Linked DNA regions of Oreochromis niloticus. The protein of the gene in region 2 interacts with the protein of the main gene of each other region in a biochemical or structural test. Links are inferred from orthologs where the notes say so. Each region holds a gene or a part of one and is shown on either strand. Other genes may lie near its edges.

Region 1 (3,756 bases), on a different chromosome or scaffold from region 2:
GTAACTGCCCAATAAAACACTAGCAGTGTGTGACCTCTACCTCATAACTGTTTGTGGTTATTTTACACTTAGGGGATCTGTGACTAGTCTCTCTTTTCTCATGCACATGCTGATGCAACCCAGGCTCAATCTTGTACTGTATTGGTCATTCATTGTGAAATGAGCCTTTCACCTTCTCGCATGTGTTTGTTTATGGATATTTGCACAACATAGATCCTTAAAAGAATCATTTTTTCCTTCCTTTACCTGAGGACCAAGACTAGACAACTTTACAAACTCCAGCAAACAAATGGACAAGACTTATTGTTACACACTTGACCACCAACCATGCTGGACTTTATATAATCTTACCCAACTTTACTGACAACTTACCAGTGCTACTCTAGGTCACTGACCTATTTTCCTACAATACCGTTGTGGGGTTCTACTTTTGTGTTACTATAACAGTGCGTTACACATAGACATTGTGAAACACCCACATTGCCTGTTTTTACGTTACTAATTATTATAGGAGAGAGAGAAAAAAATGTAATGTAAACCACCATTACGAAGAGTTGCAGGAACTGTTTTTGTTAAAATACATGTGCTCATTTTTTTATGTCCTTCTGGCTACATGTAGTTGTGCAGTTTATTTTCCTCCTGCTGTTCCTGCTTCCATCATTCCAGGAGCGAAACACATGATGTAATCGCTAGACCCATAGATGCAACGTCAGATCACCCCACTCTGATTCTGAGCTTCTCATTGGACGGTTTTACTGGTTCTACAGGAGGAGCCGCTAATTCGAGTCAAACAAGCTTGGCTGTCGCTAAGCGCACGCCCCACACGACTATGATTGGCTATTGGTGGCAAGCCCACAATAAACATGTCCATGCTGTATACAAAGAGAAAAAAAAATATTTATTTATAATAAACATTATAAAAGATATTCAGAACTGTATTAAGCTGCTCTGGAATCAGAACTTAACTCGTTTATGCTGTAGTTAGCTATTTTTTCATACCCATCAAATGTAACCATATAAATATTTTCTAGCCACGGCATCAGTTCTTCGATTACTGCAATTATTTGTTGTTTTTTGTACATTATCGGATTTTTGTGTGTAAATTGTGTTAGATCGTGGCCGTATACTCCACATGCCCTCACTCATTTACTCAAACAATCAAAACAAGCCTGAGAAACAGGGACGTGGGAATCTAGTTCAAACAAGGGTGATTGGCTGGCGCAACTGTCAATCATCATCGGTTGGATGGGTTTCTCCGGCTACCGCTGTAAGCACGTTAGTAGTGAATGAGCGTCGGTGTTTGGCTTGGTTTGACAAGTTTCCCAGGATGATGATGGGGCTAGTAGCGAGCAGTTAGTTGACACAAAAGTTACAAAAATAAGAAAAGTTGCAGCTCGCGTTGCGTGTGTGACGAAAGGACAGGGATCTTGGTCCTTTTGTCAAATGTAAGGACTCAGAAGTTTCCGATTTCTCCGACAGTCAGTCAAGTCTACACTGGAAAGCCCAGGCACGACAGTAAAGATGAACAGCCTGTCTTTTGACGATCATTCGTTGGATAATCTGGATCCAACACTGTCGCTTAACGACCCCAGTGATATTGACACGGCCCTCCTAAGCGACATTGATGGTAAGAAAATATAATGGCTGCTGCTGGCTTAAAACAGTTGTGTTTGCTAAAACCGGTAACACCGTACGTGTTATCATTCCTTTTCGTATCAATTCTTTAAGTGTTCTGCATGTAATAACCACACTAACAACATCACTTACAACGACATTCGATACAAAGACACCTTTAAAAAAATAAAAAAGCTTTTAAAAGCTGAGAGCTAGCTTTCATTATCCACTGTTAGCTACATGCTAACTATCGGTGAGCAGTTAGCCGGAGGTGATATTTGGGATGTTTTGTTAGTAATTTATAACGATGATTCTTGCAATATCAGAAGTCTTCTGTGTGTCTTACTGTGCAATAGAAAAATAGAAGCGCATTTCATGAGGCGAATATGTGAAGCTAACGTACAGCTAGCTTCGTGTGCGCCCCGCCCCCAGCGTGCTCCATAGACCGGGGTTACTGTCGTTCATTCCTCTTTTTTGGGTTCACGGAGCCTCACTTGACCGATTTGACAAATATAATGCATTTATGTATGCCAAATTAATCGGTTGAAAACTAATGTAACCATGTGCTCTGTGGACGACATTATTTTTTTCTCGCTAATATAGTGCTATCCACGTGCAGTTTTTTGCAAAAACAAACAGCATATATAGTCTGATTCATATATAAAATTCGTGCAACAATTTAAGCCTCCCATCGAAATAACAAGAGTATTTCGAGTAGTGTTAATATTTAGAGTTTTCTGGAAATTTTCCTAAATTGGCCAGTATGTGTTTTATGATAGGGGTCGACGTGTAAATAAGATAACACGCACTGCGTAAACAGTATTCATATCCTGCGGCCGTGCTCTCCATCTCCCTGACTTTGACCGACAGTAACCCTCTGTGACACTGCTCGATGGTAACCTCACACTCATTGCCACAGGCAGCTCTCCCTCTCTTTTCCTGTCTTGGGCTGATCGGCATAGCAAGTCTCCGAGATGCGCTCTGATTGGCCAAGAGCGATCACCTCATACACAACACTGCTTCACAAATCCAGGCTGCTGGTTTTTTTCTTTTTTGCACTGCAGACACAACATGAACTCAGAATCACTTAACAGATAAATTAAACGCGGTGAACTGTGCTCGTAAAATGCTGTAAAAATTATTTCAGTGTCTTATGTCTTTCAAGAGCACACTGCTTCCTAGAATTAAAAAATGATTAGTGAACACGTGCCATCTCACTTTGTTCATGTAAAGTTTTTTGTCAGTTTTAAATCTTTGTAATATAGCAAATCATCTGGAAAAGATACATATTAAAATGTTTTATATCTTTTAGATCATGCTAATGAAAACCTACAAGTCCATATGTGCAGAAGCACAAATTAAGATTAATAATTCATTAATAATATACCACTTGGATTCTTGGACCTACAGCTGCACGCACATGATGAATGGCTTGATAAACTGAAAGTGTGAAATGTACTGTACCCGGTATTTCTTGTTGTGTTTGGCAGTCTTTCTTGTTAAGTGTGTTTTTAAACTGCGTAAGACACCCTATCTCCTGCTTAGGATGTTTTAAAGTAGTTTTCTAGTAATTTATTGAGTGTTAATGGAAAATGTGATGAAACAAAACAAAATTTAGGTTTTAGCAATTTTAAACCGCTGTAGTCATAAGTACATGTGATGTACTACATTTACAGTCATGTGAAAAAGAATGGACTCTATAAAAGCAGAAGTTTTTTTTGGTTTGCAGTACACGGATTTGTGGAAGTCCAAATTCACCTCACAGTCAGAGAAACCTCAAAAAAACACATGAGCTATATAATCTACAGCACATTAAATTTTAACATTAATGACAGTAAAGTTAGAAAGAGACTGAACACAAATATGGGTTCAATTTTAAAAAAACACATGCAGGAGCAAAGTTGCAGCTAAACAAACCAGAACACTTTTAGAGCAATAATTCATAATGCACAACATCACACAGCATATCTGTATAAACACCTAATATCAACTGTTAAGCATAGCGATGGAGTAGTGATGACTTGGGGTTGTTTTTGCGGCCATAGGACTCGGGAACCCTGCATTGATTGAGTCGACCATGAACTCCTCTGTATTTCAAAGTATCCTAGAGTTAAGTGTGAGGCCATCTGTCCTATAGCTGAT
Region 2 (3,756 bases):
GTTTTTTTGTGCATCTTATATGATCACTCCTATGTTCTTTTACTATTTTACTGTTTGGAGAATTCCCCACGATCTTTTAAATTTCCCGTCTCTGCAGGGGCCTGGTCAAATGTGGTGGGAACACAAACAGTTCTTGTGATAAAATTTTAAGTTACTTTCGGAAAATTAAACAATTTCAAGCTAAAAGACATATGTTTTTTTTTTCTTTACTGTTGCCAAATGTCAAAATGGGTCAAATTTAACTGAACATTATGTTATGTTTAAGTTAACTTAAAAAACAGGCTCTGATTCTCCATTTAAAAGTCAGTGTAAACATGGGGGTGTGGGGCACCGTATTAAACAACATTACAAAATTTAACAGGAACTCAGAAGCGGCTTACATTTAAGTAGTTTCCCTTTATTATATTTTCTAAATGTCAACACCCTTTCACAGAATGAAAGTGCATAATCCTCTAGTCATGTAGACCTTGCAGTGGTCTACATGAAGAGATTTATGGTTTGGATTAAGATTATTAATTCTTTGTTAGGGAGCATTCAAATTGTTATTCTATTGTTTGTGTAACACCAACCTTAGCAAACTTAAAAAACGGTCTAGGGTCCCGTCTGAAGTACTCAATGTCAAACATAGCTTGAGGATCTGGAAGATCTGGAAAATCTACAGCAAGCCGTGCATAAATTCCATCTCTGGAGCGGAAGTCTGGTATTCCACATGAAACTGAAACCTACAACAAATAAAATAAAAATAATAAAGAGATGCAATGAACACTAATACTAAAAATCGAATTTACACAGTAGAGCTACATGATAAAGTAAAAAATGCATACCCCAGCACCAGTCAGCACTAGGATCCTTTTACTTTCATGTAGTAGCCTGACCACATCTTCTAAGGTATTAATATCTTTCCGCTTCTTTCTTTTTGGAGGCTCTGAGATGTTGATGATGATCTGCCACAATGTCATGTCATCTAAATCTGGTGGGAGTACAGTCTCAGGCAGCAAATCCCTCAGGATGGCCCTTGGATCTGTCTCTCTAATGTGCTGCTGGATGAAACTGTAGGAACCTGCGAGCAAGAACATAACATCTCAGTATGGCTGGATTTCCAAAACACACATACTTGTGCAATGCAAACAATTATTATGTGGTTTAAATATATAGATAAACACTAAATACATATCATAAGTGGCGTAATCTAAGATACTGTAGTTTATTAATGATGTTAGTTACCTATTTGCGGTTGAGGAGTCCAGTCGCTGGAGCTTGCATGTGAGGACCTGTCATCGTCTTCAGTGATGTGCTCTGGAGTGACAGCCAAACCGTTGGAGGGAAGATCATCGTGCCCAAGAAAATCTAAGTACAGACATGGAGAAATTTAACTAAATATGACTAGATACAAGTCGGGACTCTCTTTAATAACTGCTATGACCCGTTACAAAAGTAAATCGGTGAAAACAGCCTCTCAAAGTGAACTTTCAACCGGCTAACAAACGCCAAATTGCTCTCAAAGTTTTGCGTGGTTATGAAAAAGTTAAATGGACAAACTTGTGCTGACAGGATCACTGATAGAGAGTTAGCGAAATATAATTTAGTGGAAAAGTTCCCGTTTTTAGGAGTACAGGAGTTCTCGACACCCACACAGCATTACTGTATTTAACATTAGCTAAGTTAACTGTTTCACATGGAGCCAGTTAGCTCACCGGTTAAGTTGGCAAAGAGAATTTTTCTCACTGAAAGTCACTCAAATACTCAAAGTTTTTTTTTCTCTTTTTTATACCTGGACTGTCCTCGGTTCCGCCAAAGACAGCGGTGTCGTCAAGTTTCCCCACTGGCTTGTGAGTCTCGGAGAGCAATACTTCCAGTCCATTGTTGTCTCCGCCTAGCGCTGCCGGGGCCTGTTCTACCGCCATCACCGGCTTCGCTTCCTTCTCCGCGGGCTGCGCACAATTCAACGCCGCCTCCCAGCTCTCAGTTGCCGCGGAGACGCACGAGAACTGGTCCGCTTCGACGGCTTTCAGTCCATAGTTAGTCCCTGGACTGATTTTCGAAATCTTAGCGTGAGGTTCCCCCGTATCGGAGGCGCCCGAAAAGGCCGTTTTCAGACTGTTCTCTCCGTCCGCCATCTTCAGCCCGCAGAGCCGCTGAGCAGGAGCCTTCCTCTCGGACAGCTGGCTCATTTGCATAGCACACGTGACTCGTTCTCCACCAGTAGTCCCGAGCGAAACGCCCCCCTCTACGTCGCTGACATTATACCATAACAAATATTGTTGCCTTCAAGTGCTGTCGGATGATTTCTAATCATAGGTTAGCCCTCACGAATCTTTCAAGCCTTTCGGTGATGTGTTTCGCGTAAATATAAACGATTTTATATTGACGTGTAGTCGTTGTAAACTTAATTAATGCCCCAGTTACAAATCTGTCATTTTCTTTTTTCGTTGCCACACAAGCCTTAAGTATGTGAAAGAAATTTAGTTTTACTACATAAAAATATAACATTTCTAATTTCCTAAAGCTACCATTGCCTTTGTTTCTTAGCCAGATGAATAAACGAATTTTCTAGTAAGCAGGACCATTATCAAGACCCTTGAATGCATCATACGTCATACGGTGAAAAGGGGCAGCTGGGCTCTCCCAACAACTCAGGAGAGATCTCCCTTGAAAATTTCAACAGTTTAATAATCCCTGAAATCTAACGCTAGCTGACAAAACCATACTAAGACAAACTTTGCTAACAGTTAGTAGTTAGCTAGTTGGTTATAGTGAGTGAGTGAGTGAGAGGGGGAACCCTTTGGCAACCCTTTAACTGATCAGCTGTGATCACGTTCAGCAGCATTTGTGGTCCGTTAAAAGAAGCCATACGTGCTTCTCCGACAGATTTTTATGGAGGCTGTTTTGAGCTGTAAACCTGAGGATTTGGAGGATTACTACGGGTTACTGGGATGTGATGAACTGTCATCGGTAAGTTCTGGTCAGTGGGTTTAAGGCTCAGACTATTTGCTGGGTTGCTGAACGGATATAGTCTCGATCTATAAGTCAGTAATTATTTAGGGAGAAATGGGGGTTAAAAACATAAAATACTACATGAGACATCAACGATCAATAGCCTGTACACTGCTGAGCCAAAAAATGTAAAAATAAAAATGTATGTGTGCCTCAGATTAGGCTGAACCAACTGAGACCTGTTGATGTGAAACTAGTCGTGCGTCATCCAGTGTCTGCCAGCCAGCATTTAAATTCATTTGTGTATAACTAGATTAGATATGGAATCAGTGTGATTTTTTTAAATGTATCTTACTAAAATAAATCTTTGATTAGCAACATCAACACACATATCCACTGCGGTCTTGTGATCGCCAATTTTCACTCAATATATTACTCAACAATCAGCAACAGTCATAGACTGGCAGAGCTGAGGGTCTCAAATAGTCAATAACACGGTCAAGATAACATCGATCTGATTGATTAGATCACATCAGACTATGAGGTTTGTTTTGTTTTGTTGTCCTGCAGACCGAACAGATTCTCAATGAATACAAGATTCGAGCCTTGGCATGTCATCCAGACAAACACCTCGACAGCCCAAGAGCAGGTAATGCACACACACCACTAACTGTGTGTGAGTCATATTTCATATAACCTTTTTTTCATAGACCGAAGCAATAAAGTAATACGAAGTGTGTTATTACCGCTTCAATGCCTCTTAATTCACACTTTTCTTACATAGCTAATGTCTGTTTCTGACATCTTAACTTCAAAGCAAAT
Region 3 (3,756 bases), on a different chromosome or scaffold from region 2:
AGGGTGTCAGTAATCTGAAAAACAAAAGCCTGAGTGGGGCATGCAGGACTGTAACCATCATGAAGGCTCTAATGCAGACTACTCACTGTCTCTGGGTTCAGGGTCCAGTCCTTTGAACCTGCCTGTGGGCCTGGCATCCACCACCTGGAACTCTTTAGTCTCCAGGTTATCCAGGATATCCTCGTAGGTTTTAATCCACGAGCGGTTCAGAGAGGCTTTGAACTCGGTCGCTGTGGGTCTGACGTACCGGTCACTCACAGGTCGACCCTCCAGCTCCCAGTTCCTGAGCCCCCCATTGAGCATAGAGACCGCACTGTGCCCAAACACCCGGAACATCCACCACACACGGGGCGCCGAGAACGCCCCGAACTCGCTGCCATCGTAGACCACGACGTGCGTGTCGTTTTCTATTCCCAATTTCCCGACGTATTCCGCAAAATAGTCCTCTGACGGCAACATATGGTCCAGAGGAGAGGTTTTATCGCAGCACTGGTCAATGTCAAAGAAAGCTGCTCCCGGCACGTGCTTCTTCTTGAACTCGCTCTTTGCGTTTCTCCGCAGTTTGGGTAAATACCACGAAGTGTCCAAGACCCGCATTTTCCCCTGGACCTTTACAGCCCGAGCCAGCCACTTAGAGGTGACCAGAGCGGTGGCTTGGAGAGCCATGGTGAACTGAAGATGCAGACAGGCTACAAAGTTTACCTAAGTTTCACGGTATTTAACAAAACCGTGCCAAAAGTCGGGAGCGGTCGAGTGAGCAAAGGTACTAATGGTGGGGAGAGAGCGCATGCCAAACCGTCACGCCCCTCGGTTCACCTGACACTGATAAAAGTGAAAGGGGGACACAGTAAAAATGGCATTAGCCTACATTTTAGACAAAGTCTGAAAACCGACACTCATTCGTAAGCCTGCAGCGAGACATGCATATTTTTTTTCAACTCCAACAGAAAACGTAATCTATTAACCCATCTCCGTGGGAAGTGAAAATAACAGAGGACTGGAGCCACTCATTAGCCACCTCATTGGCTAATTCTCTTTACCTAATCTGGAGATTGCTTCGACCTACATTTTAAAATAGCATGACTTATCATTTTACTACACTTTCTCCTTGTCCCACAGTTTCCATAGTGCGCCCCTTCTGTTTTGATACTACTACTACTACTACCACTTGTAGTAGTAGTAGTAGTAGCAGTAGTACTACTACTACTACTACTACTACTAATAATAATAATAATAAAAAATTTAAACTAAAGTAGTTGAAATATAACAACAGGTCCAGCAGCATTATCCAGGTAGGAACTTTGTTCATTTTTACCTCGTCAAGCCGACTGCTTTTAACCGACGCACGCGAGCTTGCCGGATGTTTATGGAACCACATGTTGTTACCCGGTTATAAAAGCAGATTTCTGTGGATGTAGTTTGTGGAAAGTAGAAGAAAACTTTTGTAGCTTGAATCAGGATGTCGGCTTCGTTGATCAGGAGAGGACTGGAGCTGCTGAGCAATGACATTAAAGGTCAGTTTAGCCTCTTCAGCTTGCTGTGCCAGTTGGCTAACAGTATTGGACATTAGCGCTCTCGCTAGTATAATTCTGACCATTCCTTGTGACTGATCAGTGTTTTTACATTGTTATAGTTGGGCTGTAATAGATTGGGTTTATACTGTTGCTTTAAGGTCTAAACCTGATTACTTGAATATTATTTCTGAGGTCTTTAATAAGGAAATCACGTTGTCGTCATTAAATCATAGCAACGTAGAGCCTGAAAAAGACAAGTGTCGTATGTGAATAACCGTACTATGCTTAACCTCAACCTACATAACATTCCTGTGAGGAAAGCAATTCCTTATTGGGTGAGCGGGTACTTGGTTTCAGCACAGCTGATGTCAGGAGGACCCTGAGAAGAACTGATGTACCAAAGCAGCGCCTCGGGACTGGTGCTCAGGGAATGTGCAGATCAGCTGGGTCATGTCCTCACAGACCTCTTCAATACCTCACTGAACCATGCAGTTGGACCATCATGTTTCAAGAATTTTACCATCATACTAGTTCCTAAAAACAGTCCAGTCCCATGTCTTAATGATTATCACCTTTTAGGACTCACAATGTGCATTTCAGTTCCGCATTCAACTCAATCATCGTCCAGCATGAAAGAATGCGGCAAGCGGAGACAATTGATGGGGACTGGTGGACCACAAACAGCACTGTCTTTCACACACAGCTTCTCATCAATAACATTTATTTACTTTATTACACTTTATTATACGTTATGTGTAGGTCCTGTCTTGTTATATCCTGTATGTTACCTAAATGTTGTGCATCTGCACTTTATTGTTGTCTATGTCTACGCATGGGACAGTGTGAAACGTAATTTCAATTCCTTTGTATGGCAAGTACATCTGAAGAAATTGACAAATAAAACTGACTTTGACTTTGACTTTGACATTGTGGTGGAGGTGGACGGCAGCACTATGTTTCTAGCTTTGTAGTTCTCTTGTAATGGGAGCACAGCAATGTCTCAGGTGAAGAGTGTATTTGGAGCAGAGGAGTCAGATTCAGAGTCAGAACAGTTTCTTTCTCATAGCCATCAGGTTTCTAAACTTTAATTCTTTAATACCCCTCCCATCTACACACACACACACACACACACACACACACACACACACACACACACACAGTGGACTGATCTCCCTGCTGCTGTGATACTCCATTACTATCTATAAGTGTAATATACTGGTAATTTAACAATACTGCTGTGTTTTATACAGTATATTTTTTATGCATTTTACATTATTTTTCTATAGCTCTGTTTGTTACTACAATTTTTATTAATGTTGTGAGCCAGTGCAACGCGATCCCATTCAGATATGCTATGATTAGTGTATAGCTTTTGAATGACAATAAGATCGATTCACATTCTTAAAAGAACATGTTTCCTTGTCTGCAGCTTACTTTGGGTTTTGTGCTTGTCTTTTTGTTTCCTGCCAGATGTCACTAAAGTGAAGAAGAAGCAGCAGCAGACCCCCAGCTCAGCCACAGTGATGGAGCTGGTGAGCACCAAGCGGCAGGGAGTTACCAAGCAGGTCAAAAGACTGCAAGGCCGTCTCGGGCCTGGCAAGAGCAAAGCCACTGTTAAAGACAAGAGGATCAAGTCTGCAGTGGGTCAGTCTGCTTGCTGTATTTCAGTCTTCTTCATGCTTAGAATAGAAGACATCTGTGAAAAAGTAAAAACAATTAGTACAGATGCTTTTGTGTTTTTTATGTAAGGACCAGTAGGTGGCAGCATTGGTCTTAAACTAAGTTGTAAAATGTACAGCCTTTCACTGAAAAAGAACTCAAATCTGAATAATTGTTCTGTTTCAGTAATGTAAACTCTTTTACAGTCTAATATTCAGTTGATGGTGCTCTAAATTTCTTGTTCTTTGGTTTGAATTGTAGAGGAGTTCAGGAAGAAGCAGGGGAAGAGCCATTTGAGTGAGAACCTCAAATACTTTATGGAAACTGGCTGTAAAGCAACAGATTCTGACACACTGAAGGTAACCAGGTCATCAGTCCCTCACATTTTACAAGTACTGTCATTATCTGTGACTCTTGTCTATTCTTGGAACACTGGAGTCCAAAATGTTAAGCAGGATTTAAAAGGAAGAGTCATATTTACATAAAAAAGCAGCTTACTCACAGACACAAAAATACTGGTGGCATCCAGTGGTACCGCTCAGCATGCTAGTAGATGCACCGATGGTATCAATTTTAATGTCGG

What was found.
Region 1: of the proteins of sirt1 (region 2) and srebf1, one has a biochemical effect on the other in vitro, tested with the Homo sapiens proteins (2 studies listed by BioGRID, with this or other methods). The link is inferred for Oreochromis niloticus from reciprocal best matches to the Homo sapiens genes SIRT1 and SREBF1.
Region 3: the proteins of sirt1 (region 2) and rps19bp1 form a complex in vitro, tested with the Homo sapiens proteins (2 studies listed by BioGRID and IntAct). The link is inferred for Oreochromis niloticus from reciprocal best matches to the Homo sapiens genes SIRT1 and RPS19BP1.

The regions. Positions count from the first base shown.
Region 1 is NC_031969.2:18,055,975-18,059,730, reverse strand, and holds the start of srebf1 (sterol regulatory element-binding protein 1), read left to right. Parts: upstream 1-1,257; 5' UTR 1,258-1,521; coding exon 1,522-1,627; intron 1,628-3,756.
Region 2 is NC_031978.2:25,308,644-25,312,399, reverse strand, and holds the start of sirt1 (NAD-dependent protein deacetylase sirtuin-1), read right to left. Parts: upstream 2,220-3,756; 5' UTR 2,178-2,219; coding exon 1,772-2,177; intron 1,348-1,771; coding exon 1,225-1,347; intron 1,061-1,224; coding exon 825-1,060; intron 723-824; coding exon 570-722; intron 1-569. Other genes in the region: dnajc12 (dnaJ homolog subfamily C member 12), read left to right, coding at 2,875-2,952, 3,505-3,583. UniProt on the Homo sapiens protein: NAD-dependent protein deacetylase that links transcriptional regulation directly to intracellular energetics and participates in the coordination of several separated cellular functions such as cell cycle, response to DNA damage, metabolism, apoptosis and autophagy.
Region 3 is NC_031971.2:9,196,591-9,200,346, reverse strand, and holds the start of rps19bp1 (active regulator of SIRT1), read left to right. Parts: upstream 1-1,323; 5' UTR 1,324-1,459; coding exon 1,460-1,514; intron 1,515-2,984; coding exon 2,985-3,158; intron 3,159-3,434; coding exon 3,435-3,532; intron 3,533-3,756. UniProt on the Homo sapiens protein: Part of the small subunit (SSU) processome, first precursor of the small eukaryotic ribosomal subunit.